2 linked regions of the Callithrix jacchus genome follow. The protein of the gene in region 1 binds, or shares a complex with, the protein of each later gene. Links are inferred from orthologs where the notes say so. Each region holds a gene or a part of one and is shown on either strand. Other genes may lie near its edges.

What was found.
Region 2: DHX16 (region 1) and BUD13 share a complex: the UniProt entries of both Homo sapiens proteins name them as parts of the minor spliceosome. The link is inferred for Callithrix jacchus from reciprocal best matches to the Homo sapiens genes DHX16 and BUD13.

The regions. Positions count from the first base shown.
Region 1 is NC_133505.1:35,447,501-35,459,670, reverse strand, and holds the end of DHX16 (pre-mRNA-splicing factor ATP-dependent RNA helicase DHX16), read left to right. Parts: intron 1-987; coding exon 988-1,098; intron 1,099-1,249; coding exon 1,250-1,365; intron 1,366-3,034; coding exon 3,035-3,245; intron 3,246-3,442; coding exon 3,443-3,541; intron 3,542-3,652; coding exon 3,653-3,805; intron 3,806-6,173; coding exon 6,174-6,314; intron 6,315-6,508; coding exon 6,509-6,671; intron 6,672-6,760; coding exon 6,761-6,879; intron 6,880-7,004; coding exon 7,005-7,072; intron 7,073-7,736; coding exon 7,737-7,899; intron 7,900-7,995; coding exon 7,996-8,157; intron 8,158-8,434; coding exon 8,435-8,608; intron 8,609-9,896; coding exon 9,897-10,025; 3' UTR 10,026-10,127; downstream 10,128-12,170. Other genes in the region: C4H6orf136 (uncharacterized protein C6orf136 homolog), read right to left, coding at 10,306-10,449, 10,529-10,598, 11,763-11,963, 12,150-12,170. UniProt on the Homo sapiens protein: Required for pre-mRNA splicing as a component of the spliceosome. Contributes to pre-mRNA splicing after spliceosome formation and prior to the first transesterification reaction.
Region 2 is NC_133511.1:16,400,088-16,412,257, reverse strand, and holds part of BUD13 (BUD13 homolog), read left to right. Parts: intron 1-3,672; coding exon 3,673-3,757; intron 3,758-5,948; coding exon 5,949-6,782; intron 6,783-8,392; coding exon 8,393-8,610; intron 8,611-10,179; coding exon 10,180-10,285; intron 10,286-10,944; coding exon 10,945-11,083; intron 11,084-11,400; coding exon 11,401-11,585; intron 11,586-12,117; coding exon 12,118-12,170. UniProt on the Homo sapiens protein: Involved in pre-mRNA splicing as component of the activated spliceosome. As a component of the minor spliceosome, involved in the splicing of U12-type introns in pre-mRNAs.

The sequences.
Region 1 (12,170 bases):
GACGGTTTTGCCTTGTTGGCCAGGCTGGTCTCAAACTTGACCTCAAGTGATCTGGTCACCTCGGCCTCACAAAGTGCTGGGATTACAGGAGTGAGCCACCGTGCCCGCCCCCTGCCCTATTTTGGAGATAAGCTCTTGCTCTGATGGCCAAGCTGGAGTGATGTGGCACCATCATGGCTGACTGCAGCCTGGAACTCCTGGGCTCGATAGATCCTCCCACCTCAGCCTCCTGAGTATCTGGGAAGTGCATACCACTATGCCCATATTAAAAAAAATTTTTTTTTGAGACAGAATCTTGCTCTGTTGCCCAGACTAGAGTGTGTTGTCATGATCTTGGCTCACTGCAACCTCTAACTCCTGGGTTCAAGTGATTCTTCTGCCTCAGCCTCCCAAGTAGCTGGAATTACAGGGATGCGCCACCATGCCCAGCTAATTTTTTGTATTTTTTTGTAGAGAAAGGGTTTCACCATTTTGGCCAGGCTGGTCTTGAACTCCTGACCTCGTGATTCCCCCCTCCTTGGCCTCCCAAAGTGCTGGGATCACAAGCATGAGCCACCACACCCAGCTACCTTCCTGTTTTTTTACGTTAGCTGGGTCTGCCTCAGCTATTCTGTTCTTTTCCCGCTGAAGTCCAGCAGAGCCATGAGCTTAATTATCCAGAGCTGAGTGAGGACGCTCTTTGAGGGCCCTGGGTCTGTCATCCTATCTGTTTGCCCTTTTCTGGTTTTCAGCATCTATCTTTTTCTCTTTGTCTCCTGCCTGGCTTTTTTTTTTTTTTTTTTTTTTTTTGCCAATCAGTTTGAGCTTATGAGGTTGCTCAGGTTAGCCTTGAACTGATGACCTCGCCTTCGCAAGCGCCATGACCTCCGGCGGGAGCCACTTTGGACCCCTCCTGCCTGGCTTTTTACAACTTTCTCTGAATTGTACATGGTCCCAGGGGGCATATTTAGCAAAGGGCAAACCTATTCTTTCTTCCTTGTCATTCAGGGTTATACAAAGAAGGGTATGAAGATTGCCTGCACCCAACCCCGGAGAGTGGCCGCCATGAGTGTGGCTGCCCGAGTGGCCCGGGAGATGGGCGTGAAGCTTGGGAATGAGGTGAGATTTCTAGGGAACTGGGATCTGTGACTCAGTCTACACTGCCCTCAGGTCCCCACAGAAGTCTTGGTGCTGTCCTACTTCACCTTTGCCGAAGTTCCTTTCAGGGTGCACCAGCCCATATTTGGTTGCTAATGATTCCCTTGACCAGGTTGGCTACAGCATCCGCTTTGAGGACTGCACATCAGAGCGAACTGTCCTCCGCTACATGACAGATGGGATGCTTCTCCGGGAGTTCCTCTCTGAGCCTGACCTTGCAAGTTACAGGTGCGTACAGGGCCCTCCTCTCCCTTGAGAGAGCCCACACTCTCTTCCTGACATTCTGCCGCTTCCCTCCCGCTCAGTGCTTTCCCGGATCTCTAATCTCTGGCCTTTCTCTCCTTTCCCACCTAGCCAATCAGCCATTGTCTTCTGATTAATCCACCAGTTCTTGAACCTTTATGGTTCAAATGGTCCTTGAACTGACCTCCAGATACCATGGAGATGGGGCTGTAGGATAGAAGAGATTGTAGAGAAACCTCTTTTTCCGTCCCTACTCATCTCCAAGGTTTAGAAAACAATCAGAATAGAGGAGCATTGCTGCAGAGACTAAAATGCTGTGCGAAGAACATTTGAAAACACTTGGGTTGCTCAACTCAGAGGGAGAAACAGGGGAAGCATCCTGGTTCTTCTAAATATGTGAAAGCTGTTACATGGAAGAAAGGATCAGACTTGTTTTATGTGACCCTACAGGACATAGCTAGGAACCATGGGGAGGTTACAGGGAGACAGATTCCAGCTCCATACCAAAATGGCTGAGTCACCCTCAGATTGCAGGGCTTGTCAGAGTGGTTGGACCCTGGGGCTTGGTCCTCCACACAAGTCTTGGGTAGCTTGGTCTGTGAATAATGAGCTCTTAGTGCTGGAAATGGCCAACCAGGGGTTGGTTTAGCATGTGTTGAGGGGGAAAAGGGATTCATGAATGAGATTGGGGGTGGGATCAGGCCAGCTGAACAATATGTGCCTTTTCAACTCTTCAGAGGCTGTGAATTTCTGGCCCTGGAAGATCACAGTGGAGCAATTGGACAGATAGAACTTGATACTTCATATCCCTTGCAAAAAATCTCTGAGAACCCATGGAGAGCCAGCCAGTGCAAGAGTGTCTGATGCAGATGTTTTTGCCCATCGAGCCAGTGTGCTTTGTGGAATGGCTGGGGACTTTACCATCACAGTTAGGGTTAGGCACAGAGTTGAGGTTGGGAAGGTGGGTAGGGGAAGATGGGAATGAGTCCCTGGGATTTGGCTGCCACCCAGAAAAGCCAAAGAATAAAGCAAAGAGAAAGAAGGTGTCATGTACCTAACTGAGTTGGGGGAAACCAAGGGATGTGCAGAGTCCTCTGAGAGTTGGGGTTGAAAGGCTTAACTTGTTCCTCTTTCCTAAAGAAGAAACAGAGCCAGGAAGGATGCCAGAGGCAGTTGTTCCACAGGAAACCAGGAGCTTCTGGGCTGTCTGAATCACAGCAGCTCTGGTCTATTATCCCCAGCCAGCCTTGGTGGCCTCCTCTTACTGAAGGGGACCCTGCCCTCCACTTTTTTTTTTTTTTTCCTTTAAAACATATCCTTCCACTTTTTCTAGTAAGAGCTGCTGAGTCTAAGCAGACCCTTGACTGAACTAGAGGGCATGTCTGACTTGTCCTGGGTCAGTGTGCAGCCTCTACATCTTGGCTCCTATTGTCTGCTGAGGCTGGAATAGATTGCAGATCACGGGGCTGTGCCTTCTCTGACTTTCTGTTGGTCTTACGTAACTGGGATGGTGGCGTCTCCTTAGAGCCCCCTCCCTCAACAGTCATTCTTGAGCTCTTTGTGTCCATTACTCCCCTCTCATCCAGGGAACCCTGGTGTCTGATAACGCATAACCCAGCGCTCCTCCCTCATTGCTCCCCTATTACCTCTTCAGCGTGGTGATGGTGGATGAGGCACACGAACGGACCCTACACACAGACATTCTCTTTGGATTGATCAAGGATGTTGCTCGCTTCCGACCTGAGCTCAAGGTCCTGGTGGCTTCAGCCACGTTGGACACTGCCCGTTTCTCCACCTTCTTTGATGACGCCCCTGTGTTTCGAATCCCTGGACGCAGGTTTCCTGTGGACATCTTCTATACCAAGGTGCCCCCTCAGGAAGGATGGGCTTAAGTGTGTAGCGGAAAAGCTGGGGACTTTGGAGGAGGTTATCCCAAGGAGGGAAAGATGGAATGGAAAGTCCAAAGGGGAACTAGGATGAAGTGTATGTTGAGTTGGGAGGAGAGGAACGATTTGCCTAAGCAGGTGGCCCTCCTGTGACCCCATCTCTTTCTGCTCTCCAGGCTCCAGAGGCTGACTACTTGGAAGCTTGTGTCGTATCTGTGTTGCAGATCCATGTGACCCAGCCCCCTGGGGATATCCTGGTGTTCCTGACAGGACAGGTGCCTGATATGGTTGGGAGAGGGGGTAATGTATCCCAGGGGAGGACTAGGCTGGCATGTTGGTCTTCTGTGACCCTGGGACCCTTGCTGCTCTCCCCACTCTCTATCCAGGAAGAGATTGAGGCTGCCTGTGAGATGCTCCAGGATCGCTGCCGCCGCCTGGGCTCCAAAATCCGGGAGCTCCTGGTGCTGCCCATTTATGCCAACCTGCCCTCCGACATGCAGGCCCGTATCTTCCAGCCCACACCACCTGGGGCACGAAAGGTCAGTTGGAGAAACCCACACTCTTCACACCTATGCTTCACACAACAGTAGTGAAAAAGGTGTGTGCCTGCCCCATGCAAGGGGAGTCCTGGGCACTGCTGCAGACATAGCTGAGGAGCCATTCTCTCACCCCTGGGGCTGAAGAGAGAGGAGAAATACCGTATGAACCAAGAGAGAGCCAAATACGTGATCTGCAAAGTAAGCACAGTAGATTCAGTGGAGATAGGAAGTCCTTGATGGGCCAGGAGGTGGGATTTGATATGGACCTTTAAGAGAAATGGCTGAGGTTGGGTGCAGTAGCTCACGTCTGTAATCCCAGCACTTTGGGAGGCCAAGGCAGGTGGATCACTTGAGGTCAGTAGTTCTAAACCAGCCTTGCCAACATGGTGAAACCCTGTCTCAACTAAAAATACAAAAATTAGCCAGGCATGGTAGAGGGTGCCTGTAATCCCAGCTACTTGGGAGGCTGAGGCAGGAGAATCGCTTGAGCCTGGGAGGCGGAGGTTGCAGTGAGCTGAGATTGTGCCTCTGCGTTCCAGCCTGGGCGATAGAGTGAGACTCTGTCTCAAAAAAGAAAAATGGCTGAGAAGTTATCAGTGGAAGGCCCAAGGTGCGTCTGAGGTGAGAACGTCAGCTAGTAGGCTTAGTGGGAGGTTCATGCGGTACAGGAGTAGGAGATAAGGCTAAAAACAATTTGGGGCTAAGATTAGGGAGGGCCTTTGATGACAGGAGAGCTTGGACTTATTTATTTATTGTTTATAGACAGAGTCTTGCTCTGTCACCCAGTCTGGAGTGCAGTGGCAAGATCTTGGCTCACTGCAGCCTCTGCCTCCCAGGCTCAAGTGATTCTTGTGCCTCAGCCTCCCAAGTAGCTGGGATTACAGGTGCGTACCACCACATCCAGCTAATACTTTTTTTTTTTTTTTTGAGATGGAGTCTGGCTCTATCGCCCAGGCTGGAGTGCAATGACATGACCTCTGCTCACTGCAACCTCTGTCTCCCAGGTTCAAGCAATTCTCCTGCCTCAGTATCCCAAGTAGCTGGGATTACAGGTACATGCCACCATGCCCTGCTCATTTTTTGTATTTTTTGGAGAGATGGGGTTTTGCCAGGTTGGCCTGGCTGGTCTTAAACTCCTGACCTCAGGTGATCCATTCACCTTGGCCTCCCAAAGTGCTGGGATTACAGGTGTGAGCCACCATGCCCGGCCAACAACCAGCTAATTTTTAGTAGAGATGGGGTTTTGCCATGTTGGCCAGGCTGGTCTTGAACTATTGGCCTCAAGTCATCTGCCTGCCTTGGCCTCCCAGAGTGCTGAGATTACAGGCATGAGCCACCACGTCCAGAGAAGTTTGGACTTTAGACAGCTTAGTAGCAATCAAAGGATTTTGAGCAGAGATGTAACTTTCATTCAACAAATATTTCATGAGTTCTTTCTGTGTGGTGCCAGATACACATGAGTTGATACAGTGATGCACAAAACAAAGTCCCTAGCCTACTTGTACTTGCGGTCTGTTGGGGAAACAGTAGATGCGTAAATACATAATGTCAATTTATGGCCAGTGCTGTGAAGAGATACAAGGCAGCATAGCAGGATGGAACTTGACTCCTGAGAGGTGGGGGTGAGGACTGGCATGAAGATATTTGTTTTGGGGTATAGGGAAGGCCCTTCAGTAAAGGGAAAGTGGAATAGAGACCAAACCAGGTGAGGGAGGAGCCAGGCTGATATTTGGGAGAAAAGTGCCACAGACAGAGGGAACAGCTGATGCAAATGAAATGATCCAGTGAGGAGTGCATGTACGTGGGCAGAGCAAAGCAGTGTGCAGGAGGAGTGAGGGAGGGGTTGGAGTGCTAGCAGATGAGGTCAGAAAGGCAGCTAGGGTAGGTGATCCAGGCTTTTAAGGGGATTGGATTGCATTCTAGAGTAGGATAGGAAACCACTGAAGGATGGGGAGTGATATGACATGTTTATATATTAAAAGGACCATCCTGGATGCCATTGACAGGTTGGGAGTAGAAACAGGGAGATGTGTTAGAAGGCTCTTACAGGAAGTGTTGTGTGAAGATGGAAGTGGTGGTGAGGAAGACGGGACAGGAACTTGAACACTCCCATTCCCCTTCTGAAAAAATTAACACCCTAAGTCCTCTTCTCCATTTTCTTTCCTCCTTGTGCCCCTGCTGACTCCCAGCCCCCATTTCCCTCTGCCCTGTCTTCTGTCCTTGTCCCTTGCTCTTGACCTTGGATACTAATTCCCTCAGCTCCTGCCCCTTACCGCAACTGCTTTACTACTTCTAACTTTCCAAGATGACTTTTTCTGGGTAACGAGGTTGGCAGGGTCACTGGGTGACCCCATATCCTCTCACTCAGGTGGTTGTGGCAACAAACATTGCTGAGACATCACTTACCATTGAGGGCATCATTTATGTGCTGGATCCAGGGTTCTGTAAGCAGAAGAGCTATAACCCCCGCACAGGAATGGAATCACTCACTGTCATACCCTGCAGTAAGGTCAGCTTGGGGATGCATGGGGGTCAGGGAGGTAGAATTGGTCCACAGGGAAGGTCCAACTCCAGAAGCAGGGTGGGGGCTTCTTAGCAAACGGGGATGAGCAGTTTACATCCATCTTAATTTCTTGCATAAATACTGCCCTTTTTCTTTTCCCCAACCAAATTGTCAGCTAGCCTGCTCGCCTTTCTTTCCAGGCCTCAGCCAATCAGCGAGCTGGCAGGGCAGGTCGGGTGGCTGCAGGGAAGTGCTTCCGCCTGTATACTGCCTGGGCCTATCAGCACGAGCTTGAGGAAACCACAGTGCCTGAGATCCAGAGGACTAGCTTGGGCAATGTCGTGTTGCTACTCAAGAGCTTAGGTGACTGGGCTACCTGAGAGAAGGGGGAGGTGGGCTGGAGTCATGGTCCTTTGAAGGGATTCTGTTCCATCCTTCCCACCTCTCTCTAGGGATCCATGACCTAATGCACTTTGATTTCCTGGACGCTCCACCATATGAGACACTGCTGCTGGCTTTGGAGCAGCTGTATGCCCTGGGAGCCCTCAACCACCTTGGGGAGCTCACCACGGTGAGTTGGTGGGCAGCATGGGTGGGGGCAGGATGATACGGGTCAGGATGGCTCCAGGGACCCCTATAGCAATGGAGAGAATCCTGAGGGAGGACCGGGCTCAACTCTCTGTCTTCTCTCCTTAGTCTGGTCGAAAGATGGCAGAGCTGCCGGTGGATCCCATGCTGTCCAAAATGATCCTAGCCTCTGAGAAGTAAGCCCTCCTCTCCACCCAGGCCCCCAGGCCTCCTCTGTCTCTGGGGTCTTCTTTGTCTCTTTGTCTTTTTCTCTTCATATTATTATTTAATAAATAATAAATTATTAGATAACTCTGAATGCCCCCTTTTGAGGCCCACAAGGGTAAGACACTTGATCCTTGATCCTGTCCTTGATTATACTAAATGGGCAAGACTGACTGACAGAAAATTCTGGGTCATGAACGAAAGTAGATTTTCCATCTGGGAGGGTTATTGAATGAGGGCTGGTTTTGGAACTTACTCATTCCCAAGGTTTCAAACTAGAACATTTAGATGTAGCTGTGGAGGGACCACCTTTAAATGCCATTCCTCTGCTGTCGAGATCTTTTCCGAATGCACATAGTGAATGCACACTTTCTGTAGAAACCTCAGAAGTCCCCAGTGTTTTCTGCTCCTGCCTCCATGGATATCCCTCCCTTGTGACTGTGTTTCATCTATGCTCCTACCTCCTTGACCCTCAAGCTGCTGCCAGAATCTATCTGCTGGCTGCTTTGTAACCATTATGCCAACCAGCCTTCCCCACATGAGGAAACATCCATCACACAGCGGTCACTTCCCCCTCTACCATATCTGTGCTTATGTGTCTTGCTTTGAACTCGTGCTTTCCCCTTCCTGTCCCAGGTATAGCTGTTCAGAGGAGATCCTGACAGTGGCTGCCATGCTGTCTGTCAACAATTCCATCTTCTACCGGCCAAAGGACAAGGTTGTCCATGCTGACAATGCCCGTGTCAACTTCTTCCTTCCTGGTGGTGACCACCTGGTTCTGCTAAACGTTTACACACAGGTCACTGGGCTTGGGTGAGTGGGAAAGAGACATGGGGGGACTTCAGTCTCGCTGTACACTTAACTACCTCTCCTTTCTTTTTAACTCTCTTCCCAGTGGGCTGAGAGTGGTTACTCTTCCCAGTGGTGCTATGAGAACTTTGTACAGTTCAGATCAATGCGCCGAGCCCGAGATGTGCGGGAACAGCTAGAAGGGCTCTTGGAACGTGTAGAAGTTGGTCTCAGTTCCTGCCAGGGGGACTATATCCGTGTACGCAAGGTCAGCATTTCTTTTGCCTACTGCCTTCTACCCGCAGTAGCTTCCTGGTGGCATGCAGCAGCTCCTCCAGCCTGAGGACATGCCCTCTTCCCCTTATGTACCACATTTCCTCCCAGGGCTTTCTTCCCCAGACCACTGAAGGTTCATTCCTGGGGGATTCTTCATGCCTTCCCTACCTCGCTAGTTTTCCCAAAGCTTGAACTAAAAAGGTAGTGAGCACTTAGGGTCCCCAGATATCTGCCTTTTCCATTGATTTTCTTTCCTGCCTTCCCCTTAGGCCATCACTGCTGGTTACTTTTACCACACGGCACGGTTGACTCGGAGTGGCTACCGCACAGTGAAACAGCAGCAGACGGTCTTCATTCATCCCAACTCCTCCCTATTTGAGCAACAGCCACGCTGGCTGCTCTACCATGAACTTGTCTTGACCACCAAAGAGTTCATGAGACAGGTGAGAACATCCTGTGCCCATACAGGTGGAGTCTGTAGAGAGGTGTCCTGGCAAGCTAAGAACCCAGGTTCAGGTTGCTCAGCCTGATACAAAAATAGGGAGGTAGGGTGAAATGAAAGACATCCTTTTGTTTTTTGTTTTGTTTGAGACAGAGTCTCACTATGTCGCCCAGGCTGGAGTGCAGTGGTGTAATCTTGGCTCACTGCAACCTCTTCCTCCCGGGTTCAAGTGATTCTCGTGCCTCAGCCTCCCAGTAGCTGGGATTACAGGCACAAGCCATCATGCCCAGCTAAATTTTTGTATTTTTAGTAGACATGGGGTTTCACCATGTTGGCTAGGCTGGTCTCAAACGCCCGCCTTGGCCTCCCAAAGTGCTGGGATTACAAGGATGAGCCGCGGTGCCTGGCTGACATCCTTCCTTACAGGTGTCAGCACCTTCCAAGATCTGAGAACTATACATTCATTCAATAAATATTTGAATGGCTACTGTATAGGTGCTGGGCTATAATGAGCAAAGCAGAGTCTCTGGTTTCACAAGTGTACTTATAGTCTTTATGTTCCAGACTTTTCTTAGGAATAGCTTATTTGGTATCTTGAATAACATATAAAGGTGTATCTGCCCTTTGGATATATAATAATAGAGCCAGGCACCTTTACCTCTTGCCATGTAGTCAAAGGGGAAAGATAACTTTCCACCACACACAGAAGGATCTAGGCTGGGGCTGGGCATGGTGGCTCATTCTTGTAAGCCATCCCAGCACTTTGGGAGGCCAAGATCAGCCCAGGCAACATACAAAAAATTAACGGGGCACTGTGATTTGTGCCTGTAGTCTCAGCCACTTGAGAGGCTGAGGCAGGATTGCTTTGAGCCAGGGAGGTGGAAGCTGCAGTGAGCCACTGCAGTCCAGCCTGGGCAATAGAGCAACACTGTTGCCCAGGTTGGAGTGCAATGATGTGATCTAGGCTCACTGCAGCTTCCACCTCCCAGATCCAAGTGATTCTCCCACCTCAGCCTCCCGAGTAGCTGGGATTACAGGAGCCTACCACCATACCCAGCTAATTTTTCGTATTTTTTTAAAGACAGGGTTTCACTATGTTGGCCAGGCTGGTCTCAAACTCTTGACCTTGTGATCCGCCTGCCTTGGCCTCCAAAAGTGTTGGGATTACAGGCATGAGCCAATGCGCCTGGCCAACCGTTTCAATTTAGAAAAAAAAAAAAAAAATTTAACAATAAAAAAGGATCTAGGTTGGAAAGATGAGAACTCTATTGCTCTTTTCTCTCTCCTAGGTACTGGAGATTGAGAGCAGTTGGCTTCTGGAGGTGGCTCCCCATTATTATAAGGCCAAGGAGCTAGAAGATCCCCATGCTAAGAAAATGCCCAAAAAAATAGGCAAGACACGAGAAGAGCTAGGGTGAAAGGAGGACATGAACGGAACCTGACACCAGCTCCTTTTCTTTCTATACATTATTTAATATCTATTAAATAAAATTATTTTTAGAATAAAGCTTGTGGGAACATTTGGGATTCAGAGAAATTCTATCTCATATAGTCAGTTAAACTTTATTATTTACAAGTTAAATTACACAGCAGCTTTACACAGCATGAGATGGAAAGGAAGGAAGGAGAGAGAGGAGAGGAAGCTGGCTCCTGAGATTCTTGGCTGCCTCTATGTCCTTCTCTTAGGCATAGCAGTCTTCAGTGCTGCTCCCACTCCAAAGCCAAAGAACCTGACTCAGAACACAGGTTTAAGTCAGGTTCTGGCTCTGACAGCCCCAGAGCCACCAGGGCTCCCACTAGCAGCTTCTTCACCGGCGTTGGAGGTGAGTGTGAAGGCATCAGCTGCAGGGAGAAAGGTTAATGCCAGTTGGGGGAAGCACAGAGATGTTCTACCCTTCACCCAGCCCTACCTAGAACTCACTTTATCTAGGCGATGGCGACAAATGAGGCCACTGGAATTCAGGTAGAAAGTGGAGTAGGCATCATAGGTCCTGGGGAACAGAGAGAGAAGCTTACTGAGGGAGAAGGTGACTGGTTCCAAAGCTTAATCCAAGCATTTGTTTAAACGAGTAGCTCCTAAATTCTGCTACATATTATCACCCGGGAAATTTACAAACATCTCTGCTTAGGTTGTGTCTGTCCCAATTAAATCAGAGTGTTTGGTGTCAATATTTTTTTTTAACAATCCTTGAGTATTTCTACTGTGCAGCAATTTGAGAATTGCTGGTTTAAATACTTACATCCAATGTTTGTGGCTGAGCCTAACAATTTCTTGGGATTCTACTCCCGGGCAGAAATTTAGCAGGTTGTAAGGCTCAACAAATGAAACAGCACTTTTCATTTGTTCAGTACATTTTCTTTTTTTTTTAAGACAGGGTTTCATTGTGTCACCCAGGCTGGAGTGCAGTAGTGTGATCATGGCTCACTGCAACCTCCACTTCCTGGGTTCAAGGAATTCTCCCATCTCAGCCTCCCAAGTAGCTGGAACTGCAGATGCACACCACCATGCCTGGCTAATTTTTGTATTTTTTGGTAGAGATAGGGTTTCACCATGTTGGCCAGAAGGTCTTGAACTCCTTACCTGAGGTGATCTGCCCTCCTTGGCCTCCCAAAGTGCTGGCATTACAGGCGTGAGCCACCACACCTGGCCTGTTCAGTAAGTATTTGAGTACCTACCATGTGCTAAGTACTGTATAGGAAGAAACTGAAGCTCAGAGGTTTTTCTAATATACTCAGTCTCTATTATTTTTTAAAACTAACGTAAACTAAAACAAGTTCCCTGTCCTTGAACAGTCAAGCCAGGATAGGTCAAGGGTTGTTTGGGAGACTAAATCATCTGTAATCCCAGCACTCTGGGAGGCTGAGACGGGTGGATCACCTGAGGTACGGAGTTTGAGACCAGCCTGGCCAACATGGTGAAACCCCGTCTCTACTAAATGTACAAAAATTAGCTGAGTGTGGTGGTGGGTGCCTGTAATCCCAGCTACACAGGAGGCTGAGGCAGGAAAATCACTGGAACCTGGGAGGTAGAGGCTGCAGTGAGCCAAGATGGTGCCACTGTACTCCAGCCTGGGCGACAGAGCAAGACTCCGTCGCAAAAAAAAAAAAAAGACAAGGGAATGATTATAGTTTGGGTCCTTTCTCAGCTCTCTTACCGGTAAAGCTCATCTTTGTCACGCTTGTAGAACCGCAGAAAGAGCAAGTGGATAGGCAGCCCTACGAGCCGCCACCGGGCTTGCAGGGTCCAATTCTCAGGGTGGCGGGTCAGCTGCAGAACCTCCAAACGAAGCTGTGCAAAATAATTCCAGGCCAGGAAACGGCAGAGGGTCAGTGAAAGAATGTACAATGTCCGGCCCCTGTGAAGAAGGGATAGGAAAAAAATCTAACGATGGCAGAATTAGAAAACCAAACTGGCTTCTGTCCAAGGAAGGGGAACAGCTGTGAGAAGCAGTCTAGGAACTTCTCTGGGAAGTGAAAAGAGTCAAGGGTATAGCTTTAGGTCCTTTTCCTCCCCAGGGCCCTACCTGTGCCCCAGTTCTCACTTGGTACGTATGTTGAGGATC
Region 2 (12,170 bases), on another chromosome or scaffold:
TAATGCCTGTACACCAACTTCTCTCTTTATGGAGGGCCCATCAGCCTAGAAATGAGATGGTTAACAGAGAGTGAGAACTCCTCAACATCAGTGATAGAGTCATGATGAGAAGTAGCTGTGGTTCTAATGATGAGAATTAGCTGTTGTTGGAATCTTCCTTAAAAACAGTGTTGAGGTTCAATTATAGGGAACTTCTTATTTGCTCCTTTTTTTCATTGATTTAACTAAGCTTTCAAGTTGTGTATTCTTGCATAGGAACTGGAGATTCGTAGATGAATGTGCTTTAGAGTTTATACCCTAGAATGAAAAACTGAATTTCAAATACATTTTAACAGTATGGTAAGTGTTGGGGATATATTTCACATATATACCAAGTACCATTAGAGCCCAGGGGAGATAGCACACTTAGTGTTCTGTTGAGCTATCCTGAAAGATGTAAATATCTTAACTGAGTTTTGAAGGATAAGTAAGAGCCATGTGGACAAAATCATAGGCAATTGACCTCCCAGTGGTTCCTGAAACCATTGCTGAGAATTTCTTAATAACAAAGTGGAAAGGAGAGCTGTTGATAGGCTGAATTGCACTAAAGATAGTAAAGATGGATTCCAGATGCATATTTAACATTAATTCCCAGCAAAATTCTAAAACAGATTGTTTAAAAGAGGGCTTGCTAGTGATTAGAAGGGAAATAGTGATCTCAGGGAGTCAATTTAGTTTTGGTCAGAACAAATTAATATTAACAATGTTTGTTGTTGTTTTTAATTTTGTAAAAACAATGCATATTTATTACAGAATATTTGGGAATTAAAGTTTAAAGTTTTTAAAAGAATAACCATTTATATTATGACCATCCAAAGATAACTGCTAACATTTGGATGCGTATCTCTTCAGGTTTTTCTCTTTAGTGATTATACATGCTTGTATCTTATTTTTTTTAACATAATTGGGATCATACTGTACATATGGTTTTGGAATCTGCTCTTCTGCTAAATAATAGGTTGTGGATATTTTCGTAAGACCTTAAAATATTCTTTGAGTGTATGATTTTTAATGGTTACATAGTAGGTCAATATATATATTTATTTAATCTGCCCTATTACTGGATACATGGATTGTTTCAACTTTTAAAATATCATAAATCATTGTAAGAATCAGTTTATTTCTTTATTCCATAAAATGAAATGAATGGATCAAAGGATACGGTTCTTTTTCGTTATAGTCCCGTATTGCTTTCCAAAAGGTGCTACCAGTTTACACTCCCACTAGAGGTAATGAGAATGCCAGGTTGCCTACTTTGTCAAATGATTATTATTATCATTTTTGAGACACGGTCTTGCTCTGGTGCCCAGGCTGAGGTACAGTGGTGTGATCATGGCTCATTGTAGCCTCTGTTTCCCAGGTTCAAGCAATCCTCCTACCTTAGCCCCACAAGTAGCTGGCACCACAGGTGTGTACCTCCATACCTGGCTAATTTTGTTTATTTATTTAGTTTTTTAGAGATGAGGTCTCTTTGTGTTGCCCAGGCTGGTCTTGAACACCTTGGCTCAAGTGATCCTCCCACCTAGGCCTCCTAATGTGCTAGGATTACAGGCATGAGCCACCACACCTGGCCATTTTCTTTAATAATATTGTCTTGCTTTTATGATGGCCCAAAAACCTAAACAAAGGAGGCTTTAGTGCCAGTCCTCTCTGCATTGGTTAAAACAAATCTTGATTATTGAATTCATTTTTGTTACTGCAAGATTACCACCACCACCATTAATAATGGCACAATGATTTTGATTATTTGTAATAGCAGTGGCAGCACAGGAATAACTAATAGGTATAATTTATTGAGCATTTATCATATACCAAGCATGGCTAAGTGTACATGAACTATATCATTCAATCCTTACAGTAATCCTTTGAATCCCACTTTTACAGATGAGAAAATTGAGGCTTAGAATAGTTTACCAAAAGTTACACAAATGCTAAGTGGCAGAGCTGGGGTTTAGATCTCAATTCATCTTGCCTGAAACCTGTGCTTTTAATGCTCAGTGAGCGATCTCAAAACTGGGTTATATGAAGAATGACTGTAGGATTTTGGGAGAAGTAGAGGGCAATTATAATCTGGATTTTTTTTTTTTTTTTTTGAGACGGGGTTTTGCTTTCGTTGCCCAGGCTGGAGTGCAATGGTGCAATCTTGGCTCACTGTAACCTCCGCCTCCCAGGTTCAGGTGATTCTCCTGCCTCATCCTCCTGAGTAGCTGGGATTACAGACATGTGCCACCACGCCCAGCTAAGTTTTTGCATTTTTTTTAGTAGAGACAGGGTTTATCCGTGTTGGTCAGGCTGGTCTTGAACTCCTGACCTCAGGTGATCTACCCGCCTTGGCCTCCCAAAGTGCTGGGATTACAGGTTTGAGTCACCATGCCCGGCTATGATCTGGATTTAAATTTCAATTCCACCACTTGCTAGCTTGTGACATTGAGAAAGTTACTTCTCTGAGTCAGTTTGCTATTCAGTAGTGTAGAACCTTTCTTTGCAGGGCTATTGTGAGAAATATATGAGATTATATGAGTAAAACACAAACCACAGTGCCTTGCGCATAGTTGCTACTCTGTAACTAGGATTTATTGTGCCAGCAAACACTGAACGTTTGTCATGTGGAAAGGGGATCAGTTGCATCAGAGGTCAGAACTAGAATCAATTCAAGGAAGTTATAAGAAGGTAGATATGGGGCTGGGCGCCTGTAATCCCAGAACTTTGGGAGGCTGAGGTGGGTGGATCACAAAGTCAGGAGATAGAGCTCATCCTGACCAACATGTTGAAACCCCTTCTCTACTAAAATGCAAAAAATTAGCCAGGCGTGGTGGTCCCAGCTACTCAGGAGGCTGAGGCAGGGGAATCGCTTGAACCCGGGTGGTGGAGGCTGCAGTGAGCCCAGATTGCACCACTGCACTCCAGCCTGGTGATAGAGTAAGACTGTCTCAAAAAAAAAAAGGAAGGTAGATGTGGGCCCAATAAAACTAAGAACTTTCTAACATTTTTTAAAAGTGCAGTGGACTACGTTGTAAGATAATCAGTTCCTTGTCAGGAAGGGATTGGGTGAGTGATCATTTATTAGGAATACTCTAGGGAAGATTCTGATTTGTTCAGAAGTTTGGAAGATATGACATGTAGTTTTAGCTCTTAAAGATTAATGATTCTGTGTACATCTCAGTGGCTCTTTTTGGTTGTATTCAAGAAAACCTACGATTGTGACTACCTACAACAAGAAAGGTTTTATAGAAACCCAAAGTCCTTGATTAGTTCTAGGCATGATGAGGAGGGCCACCTATGTTTTCACTCTTAATGTAAAAGTAAAAATGTAAAAGGAATTTTGTTGTTAGCTTACAAGTGGCTGTTGTGTACCTAGCAGGTTAATAAAAAGGTTTGTAATGAAAGAAATTAACCTTTGCAGGGAAATTGATTAGTTAGAGAAGGATCTACAATTCAACCAAGACAGTGACAATCAGATGTTTATGGAGCAAACGTAACTGAAGACTCCTACTTATTTCTTCATGACCGTTTTGGATATGTGTGTGCCCTTATGTTAGGAATCGGAATAGTTGTAACTTCAGATTCTTGAGACAATGCTTCTTGGTTGGATCCTGTGAATTTCCTCAGTATAGTAAATCTTTACTCCTGCAGGTGGCAGAGTTTGTGGATGAGCGACCAGAAGAGGTGAAGCAGATGGAGGCCTTTCGTTCCAGTGCCAAATGGAAGCTTCTGGGAGGTGAGTTCCAACAAAAGGCACATCTAAATTTCCATTAGTAGGGGAGGTCTTTTTTCTTTTCCTATACTTTTCTTTTAGAAGAATGCATAATTTGTTTTAGCTTGTCATTGATGCTGAAAAATATAGCAGGAAAAAGGAATTTGGACTTCTTCAGAGGTAGTAAGACATGGGAACTTAGAGACCAAATATTCCTTTCTCTTATATTTTGGCATCAGGGTTACTGAGGTCAGTGACTAATTTGGAGGCCTTTGAGTACCCATTCCTCTTTGACCCAGAATAGGAGAGCACTTGATATAGGCAAGACTTGGGGGGAGTTTACAAGAAACAGGAACAGAATTTGGAGACATTAGCCACCTCTATCCTCTTCCACAATGAAGCAGCTCATTTCTGGGAGGGTCAAGGACCAATGTTTTTTGTTCTGTTTATTTGTGTTAGTAAATTTCTCTCTTCTTTCCTTAAATATTGGCATTTTACAGTGCATTACCCTCCACTTGCCCATTCTAGACTCTTCTTAAGCTAATATTTATAATTTAACCGTCTTAAAAAAAAATGTGAGTCCTTGAGAATTGGATAAAAAGCATTTGTTTATCACATCTGTTTGAGCATAGTCTAGTCTTATTTGCCGTGATGTTCCTCTGTCTAGCACAAGGAGCTACCTAGTAAATAGTTGTAGAATTGTTGAATTGCTAGTAGGGATTTGATTTTTGTAGCCTAATCGGAATTCTTTTCCAAAGAAAATCTTTTGGTTTCTATATCTGTTTGTCTAGGAAGACACACAGACACACACAGTGCTTCTTCTTCTGTATCTGAATGTTTAGAAAGACATACAAACTTGCACACACACAGTGCTTTTTCTTCTGTAACTGAATGTGTGGAAAGTCACACATACATACTCTCTCTCTCTCTCTCTCTCTCTCTCTCCCTCCATCCCCCCCCTCCCTTTCCCTCTCCCTCTCCAACCCTCCCTCCCCCTTCCTTTTCTTCTGCCTTACTCTCACTTCCCTATCCCAATTTGTTACTGGAAATATGCTCACCAGTCTCCGACCCTTACTTCCTTTAGATTTGCTGTTAGGCCCCCACAGACATCATACTTCTCTCTGTGGAGTGGATTAGAATCAGATAGGCCTGTTACCCAAGCTAAAGGGGTTGACTTGGTTTAATTAATCTATTTAACAAGTATTCATCAGGTCCTACCTAGCTGTTATTTGTATTTGGGCTATGGAGCTGAATGACAAGAAATAGAGGTAGAGGAAGAACTGGAATTTGAAACTGTTCCAGTTGCTGTAGATATTTCATTCTGCGGTGCCTCTGAAAATGGAAAGTCTCAAACTATGTATTTTCACTTTAAAGATTTACATATTTTAAAGATTGCACAGAGTCTATGGACTCTGGAGTCAAATAGAGTTGGATTTAAATATATCTCCACCACTTATTAGCAGTATGACTTGGGCAAGTTAATCTTTCTGAGTATCAGCTTCCTCATGTGTAAAATGGAAATAACAATATTTACGTCCCAGGCTTGTTAAGAGAATTGAATCAGGTAATCTCTACATTGGCACACAGTAGGTGATTGGTAAATGCTTGTTCCTTTTTCTTTTTTCCCGGTGGTGATTTTTCCCCTCTCTAACAAAGAACACAGTGAAATGGATTAAATAGTTAACAGCATTTTATTTTGATGTTCGTTGGTTTAGTCAATTTACCTTTTGAAAGAAGGGTGAGTATGAACTATAAAGTATCTGGGCTAAATATCAGTAGGAGCCACTGTCTGGTAACTGCACAAATGAGGTTTTAGAAAGAGCACTGGACTGGGAGTTAGGAGACTTGGATTCTAGCCTGTATCTTCATCTTAGTAGCTGTGACCTTAGGTCAGAAATCACTCAGCTCCTCAGCTGAAAACATCATGCTGTAATACAAGGGTACCTGCCCTGCTTGTCTTATAGGGTATAATATAAAAAATGTACTGGAAATACTTTGCACATTTATGACTTAGTAGGCAAATAAGACAGGTTATTCTTAAGATATTCATGAGTGCTGGTTTGCTGCTCCTAAGCAAGGAAACTACAGGACTTTTGGGCTTTCTGAGCAGTTCTGAGGTTATGTGCTGCTGGAGCATCTTTTGAAACTGGGTGTGAAGCGGGGACAGAGGGACAGAGCATTTGTGGGAATCTGACTATTTGTTATTTGTGTTTAGGCCACAATGAAGACCTACCCTCACATGGGCATTTTCGTCATGATACCCCAGATTCATCTCCTAGGAGAGTCCATCATGATACCCCGAATTCGTCTCCTAGGAGGGCCCGTCATGACTCCCCAGATTCTTCTCTCCTCAGAGGAGCTTGTCATGACTCAGACACATCTCCCAGGAGGATCCGTCATGACACCTCAGACACTTCACCCCCAAGGAGGGCCCGTCATGATTCTCCCGATCCTTCTCCCCCCAGGAAGCCCCAGCATAATTCTTCAGGTGCATCTCCTAGGAGAGTCCGTCATGATTCACCAGATCCCTCTCCTCCTAGGCGAGCCCGTCATGATTCACCAGATCCCTCTCCTCCTAGGCGAGCCCGTCATGATTCACCAGATCCCTCTCCTCCTAGGCGAGCCCGTCATGATTCACCAGATCCCTCTCCTCCTAGGCGAGCCCGTCATGATTCACCAGATCCCTCTCCTAGGCGAGCCCATCATGATTTCTCAGATACCTCTCCCCTCAGAAGGGCCCATAACAACTCCCCTAACACATCTCAACCTAGGAGGACTCTTGCCTCTTCAAACATGCAGCAACTCAGAAGGGCTCGTCATGACTCCCCTGATTTGGCTCCTAATGTCACTCATTCCCTGCCCAGAACCAAAAGTAGTAAAGCCCCAGAAAGAGCCTCTAGCAAGACTTCTTCACATTGGAAGGAGTCAGGAGCCTCTCATTCGACACTCCCAAAGAACAGCAAATATGAGTATGACTCTGACCTCTCTCCTCCACGAAAAAAGCAAGCAAAATCTCATTTTGGAGATAAGCAGCAGCTTGATTACAAAGGTGAGCATATGACTGTCCATGAGAGGGATGTGTGTATCCCCTGGGAGCTTTCTTTTGGCCCTTTACTTGCTTTATAAGGTCTAAGAATGGAGTTTCTTTGGGAAAGTTTTGAAAAGTGAGAGGCTGGGGTTGGGAGAGTTAAAAAATTACGGTGGTAGGGAGGAAGGTTTTCATATATCTTTTTATTTACTTGCCCCACCCCATATAAAAGTACAATTTTTTTTGTTGCAGAAGCTTTAGAATGTACAGAAGTGTATAAAGAGAAAAGTGACACAAAATTCTGTCATTCAGAGGCAATTGTTAGTGTTGCAGCCAGGGTCATCTTAATCTTTTCTGGTTTTTGATTTGCATTTTTGATATAGTTGTGCTCTGGCTATGCAGAATATTGTATTGCGTTTGTAATCTTGTCTGCTGTCTTTTCTTAATATAGTCTTCCTCAGGCCATAAAAACATCTTTATGTTAATATGATGTTAATAGTGTTCCATTACATAAAATTACTTAACCATTTTTCTAATAATGAGTGTTTTTGGTTATTTCTAAGTTTTTGCTTCTGCAATTCTGTAACAGACATCTTGTACATAAAGTGTTGTCCCCATTTTTGATTATTTCCTTATCTATTTCTAGATAGATTTCCTGGAAATTCAACCACTTCTGTATAGGTTTCCTAGAAAGCTGAGAAGTTGATTTACTGGGTCAGAAGATGTGGGCATTTTAAAGACTGTCCATACATATTGCAGATTGCTCTTTGGGAGGTGATTTGTGATGCTTATACAGTCACTAGAACTTAGGCCTGTGCAGTGAAATTTTTTACTCCCTCTTTTCTTTCTAGGAACTATTTTAATTTTAAAATTAAACTACTTTGTTATCATTTAGTCTGAGGATATCAGAATGTATTCTAGGTATTTCTGACTTTTGTCACGCTATGGAGCACTGACTATACAAATGTTTTGTCTGTCCATGGGTGGGGTAACTGACATGGAGGAGTGTGTGGAGATCTCACACACGGTTACAGCCACTGGTCACTTGGTAATAGAATGCCATCTTCTACCTGTTGGTCTTAAAAGTTGTTTCTGACTTTGCTTTTCTCCTGTGTCATTCATACTTATGTTTAGGTTAATGAGAATTCTTCATAGGAAAACTAAATAAATATTGTATATTAGCTTGGTAAGTTATTTTTTTTAGATTCTTCCAAGGGGATTAAAGAATTGTTTGGCCAGGCATGGTGGCTCAAGCCTGTGATCCCAGCACTTCGGGAGGCCAAGACGGGCAGATTACCTGAGGTCAGGTGTTCAAGACCAGCCTGGCCAACATGGCAAAACCCTTTCTCTACTAAAAACACAAAAATTAGCCGTTTGTGGTGGCGCACACCTGTAGTTCCAGCTACTTGGGAGGCTGAGACACAAGAATCACTTGAACCCAGGAGGCAGAGGTTGCAATGAGCTGAGATCGTGCTGCTGCACTCCAGCCTGAGACTGTCTCACAAAAAAAAAAAAAAAAAAAAAAAAAGAATTCTTTCATTTGGAGGTTCTTCTCACAGTCATAGGAGATTTTATGTAAGTTCTTCACCTAGAGGACATCAGAGTCACACAGATTCTTTCCTTCTATCCAGGTGACTGCCAGAAAGCAACTGATTCAGACTGTTCTTCTCCATGGCGTAAACAAAGTACAGGGCACCAGGATTCTGATTCAGATCTGTCACCTCCACGGAATAGACCTAGGCACCGGAGCTCTGATTCTGACCTCTCTCCACCAAGGAGGAGACAGAGGACCAAATCTTCTGATTCTGACCTGTCCCCACCTCGAAGGAGTCAGCCTCCTGGAAAGAAGGTTAGGATTTTCAGAAGCTATGTCCTTATTTTCGCATGACTCTTCTCTCTGAGCTTTATATGTGTCCCAGAGAATCAAGCCAAAGGAGAAGGATGTAGCTTTTAGAAGTGTAGTAAATCTTAGTTAAAAGGACCTTTGGATCTCTTTCTTTCTGAAGGCAAACTGGCTATAACCCAGCCCAGGTGGATTTATAGATACCACATTTCCCAAGTCGCTTCTGCTTTTATAGCCTCTTAATTCTACAAATCTCATTTTAGCAGGTCCAGAAAAGCTTCCTATATTCTTAGGAATAAACTGAGGACTGTAATTTGCAGAGTGGAGTTTGGGGCACAAGCATTGTGTCAAACAAATCACATATTGAAATTCTCCTTCTGCCACTTACTGTCTGTGAGATTTGGGCAAGTTGCTTATTATCGCTAAACCTCAGTTTCTTTATCTGTAAATTGTTGTTAATAGCAGTACCTACTGTGTAAGGTTGTGATAATTAAGCCAGTGTAAATAAATCTCTTAGCATAGTGTCTGCATCTAGTGTAAGCATCTGGTATTGGTGATTTACTAGTATAAATTGACCTATAGGTCTCTGTATCCAGAGCTTAAGAAGAGACACTTAAAATACGGAACTACTTTTAGAAATCATGTTGTCTGGGAAGTTAATGTTTTGTTCTGAGTTCATGATAAAGCTTGATGAATTAGCCAAAAAACCCAAAACTCCATATGAACCTTGAGTAATTCTATTGTAGAGAACATTAATAGTAGTAAAGGAATCTGATTTGTGAGTGGTTAAGAAACAGAATGATGGAGGCTGTGGTGTGCATTTTTCTCCCCAATGCAGACTTACCAGGTAAATCTTGTCTGTTGAAGAAGGGTCTGAGAAGACTGGTCCTGGTAGGGTAGATCAGCCTTTTCTTTACCCAGGGAGTGAGAGTCTTCTCTTTTCTGGAAAAAAGAGGTCTCTGTTTCAGCTGGACCCCTTGACATTTTATGTATCCATTTAGTTAATGGACAACTTAATATTATAGTTGCTTAAGGATATCAGGATATACTGTGTGCTTCATTTGTGGGCTGGTTTGCTGTCTTGATACTAAGTGGAAATTAGCAAAAAGTTTTCATTTGGTTAGATCTTCTGTTATTACCCTGAAATATATCCACGATTTGAGGATCTTAGGTTTGCTTGAGTTTGTATTTTAAATGGAGTATTTTGTCAGTGTGGGTCTCTAATGGAAGACTTAGTGCTTTATACTGGCTTCTGATCAGATGACCTGAGAGAATCTTCATGTGTACAGTTTCTATACTGAAAAGTCAAAAATGCAAATGCATAGCCCTCCCTTTAATATATTGTTTGTTTGTGTTTCTGTTTACTCTTAAACTTGATGGTATTGATTTTTTTATGAAATTAGATTTTCTTTCTTTTATGGTTTTTGAATCGTGATAATTAATGAGAATATAAAGCTAGAGTTTTAGGTTTAATTATTGCTGCTCATCAGAGACAAATGCATCTAACTGTGTACCCGTGGAGCCTACTGCCACATCATCCCATTAATGTTGGATGCTCCCTTTTCCATTGCATAGGCTGCATACATGTATTCTGGGGCTAAAACTGGGTTGGTGTTAACTGACATACAGCGAGAGCAGCAGGAGCTCAAGAAACAGGACCAAGAAACCATGGCATTTGAAGGTAAAAATATGAAAGCACAGAGACCAATCTAGTCTCATGTTGCTTTTTTACAAAACATAGCTTATTGTACCTGATATTGTAAACTTCTAATTGCTATCAAATTTCAGCTCTGGTTTTATGCATCATTATAACTTCTTACTAAGTCCCAGTGTTTCTTTCCTTCTTGAAAAATGCCATTTTGGCTGGGCGCAGTGGCCCATGCCTGTAATCCCAGCACTTTGGGAGGCCATGGCGGGTGGATCAGTTGAGGCCAGCAGTTCAAGACCAGCCTGGCTAACATGGTAAAACCCTGTCTCTACTAAAAATACAAAAAAACTAGCTGTACGTGGTGGTGTGTAGCTGTAATCCCACCTATCAGGAGGCTGATACAGGAAAATCGCTTGAACCTGGAAGGCGGAGGTTGCAGTGAGCTGAGATTGCACCACTGCACTCCAACCTGGGCAACAGAGCAAGACTTCGTCTCAAAAAAAAAAAGAAAGAAAAGAAAAATGCCATTTCTTGGGCCCAGCACCAATGTGTACCTAAACGTTAGTAGGGACTACTTTGATCTGGCCGCAAAAGTTCTTATCTAGCATTAGAATCCCAAGCGGTTGATTTGATCTCTTAGAATGTTGTTTTTGATTTTGATTCTGATATTTGAGTATAATTTTCCTTTGCAGCTGAATTTCAATATGCTGAAACTGTATTTCGAGATAAGTCTGGTCGTAAGAGGAATTTGAAACTCGAACGTTTAGAGCAAAGGAGGAAAGCAGAAAAGGACTCAGAGAGAGATGAGCTGTATGCCCAGTGGGGAAAAGGGTAAGGGAACCACTGAAAGGGTAAACAAAATGGCAGTGACTGGAACAAGTCATTTCTCTGCTCTCTGACCACTCACTTTCTTATTATACCTTCAGAGCTATTATCAGTAATGGGAAATTTGGTGTGCTGAATCTTCTTTGTAGGATGTTGATATATTCCACACTTCCAGTGGGTATTCTGGGAATTTTACCCTGTTCAATATTTTGCCTAGGCTACTAGAAAGAGGAAATTCTCCAAATTTAGCAGTGTGGTCCATGTCATGTAGAAATGGAAATGTCATAAAGGGTAGCAAACACTCTTGGTTCGTTTTTGCCCAGGCTTGCCCAGAGCCGGCAACAGCAACAGAATGTGGAGGATGCAATGAAAGAGATGCAAAAGCCTCTGGCCCGCTATATTGATGATGAAGACCTGGATAGGATGCTAAGAGAACAAGAAAGAGAGGGGGACCCCATGGCTAACTTCATTAAGAAGAATAAGGCCAAGGAGAACAAGAATAAGAAAGGTGGGACTTCTGGGAATCATCAGAGTTGGAGGTGACTGTGAAGACTGAGAATCATTAGGGTGCTGATACATAGCTATTTGCAAGGAAGGATTTTCCAAATAATTTAAATTCATTGTGAGTTTTCATTCAACTCAGTTGGTATTTCTATATAAAAATTTTTCCAGGCCAGGCGCAGTGGCTCATGCTTGTAACCCTAGCAAGCACTTTAGGGGGCTGAGGTGGGTGGATCACCTGAGGTCAGGAGTTCAAGACCAGCCTGGTCAACATGGTGAAACCCTGTCTCTACTAAGAATACAAAAAAAAAAAAAAAATTAGACGGGTGTGGTGGTGCATGCCTGTGGCTAAAACGCGAGAATTGCTTGAACCAGGGAGGCAGAGGTTGCAGTGAGCCGAGATTGTGTCCCTGCACTCCACCCTGGGCAACAGAGTAAGACTCTTTCTCTTAAAAAAAAAAAAAAATTCCACATTGCCATCCAGCTCTGAATTAAATTACGTCATTAACTAAATACTTTTTTGTTACTCTTCTCATTAGTGAGACCTCACTACAGTGGTCCAGCACCTCCTCCCAACAGATTTAATATCTGG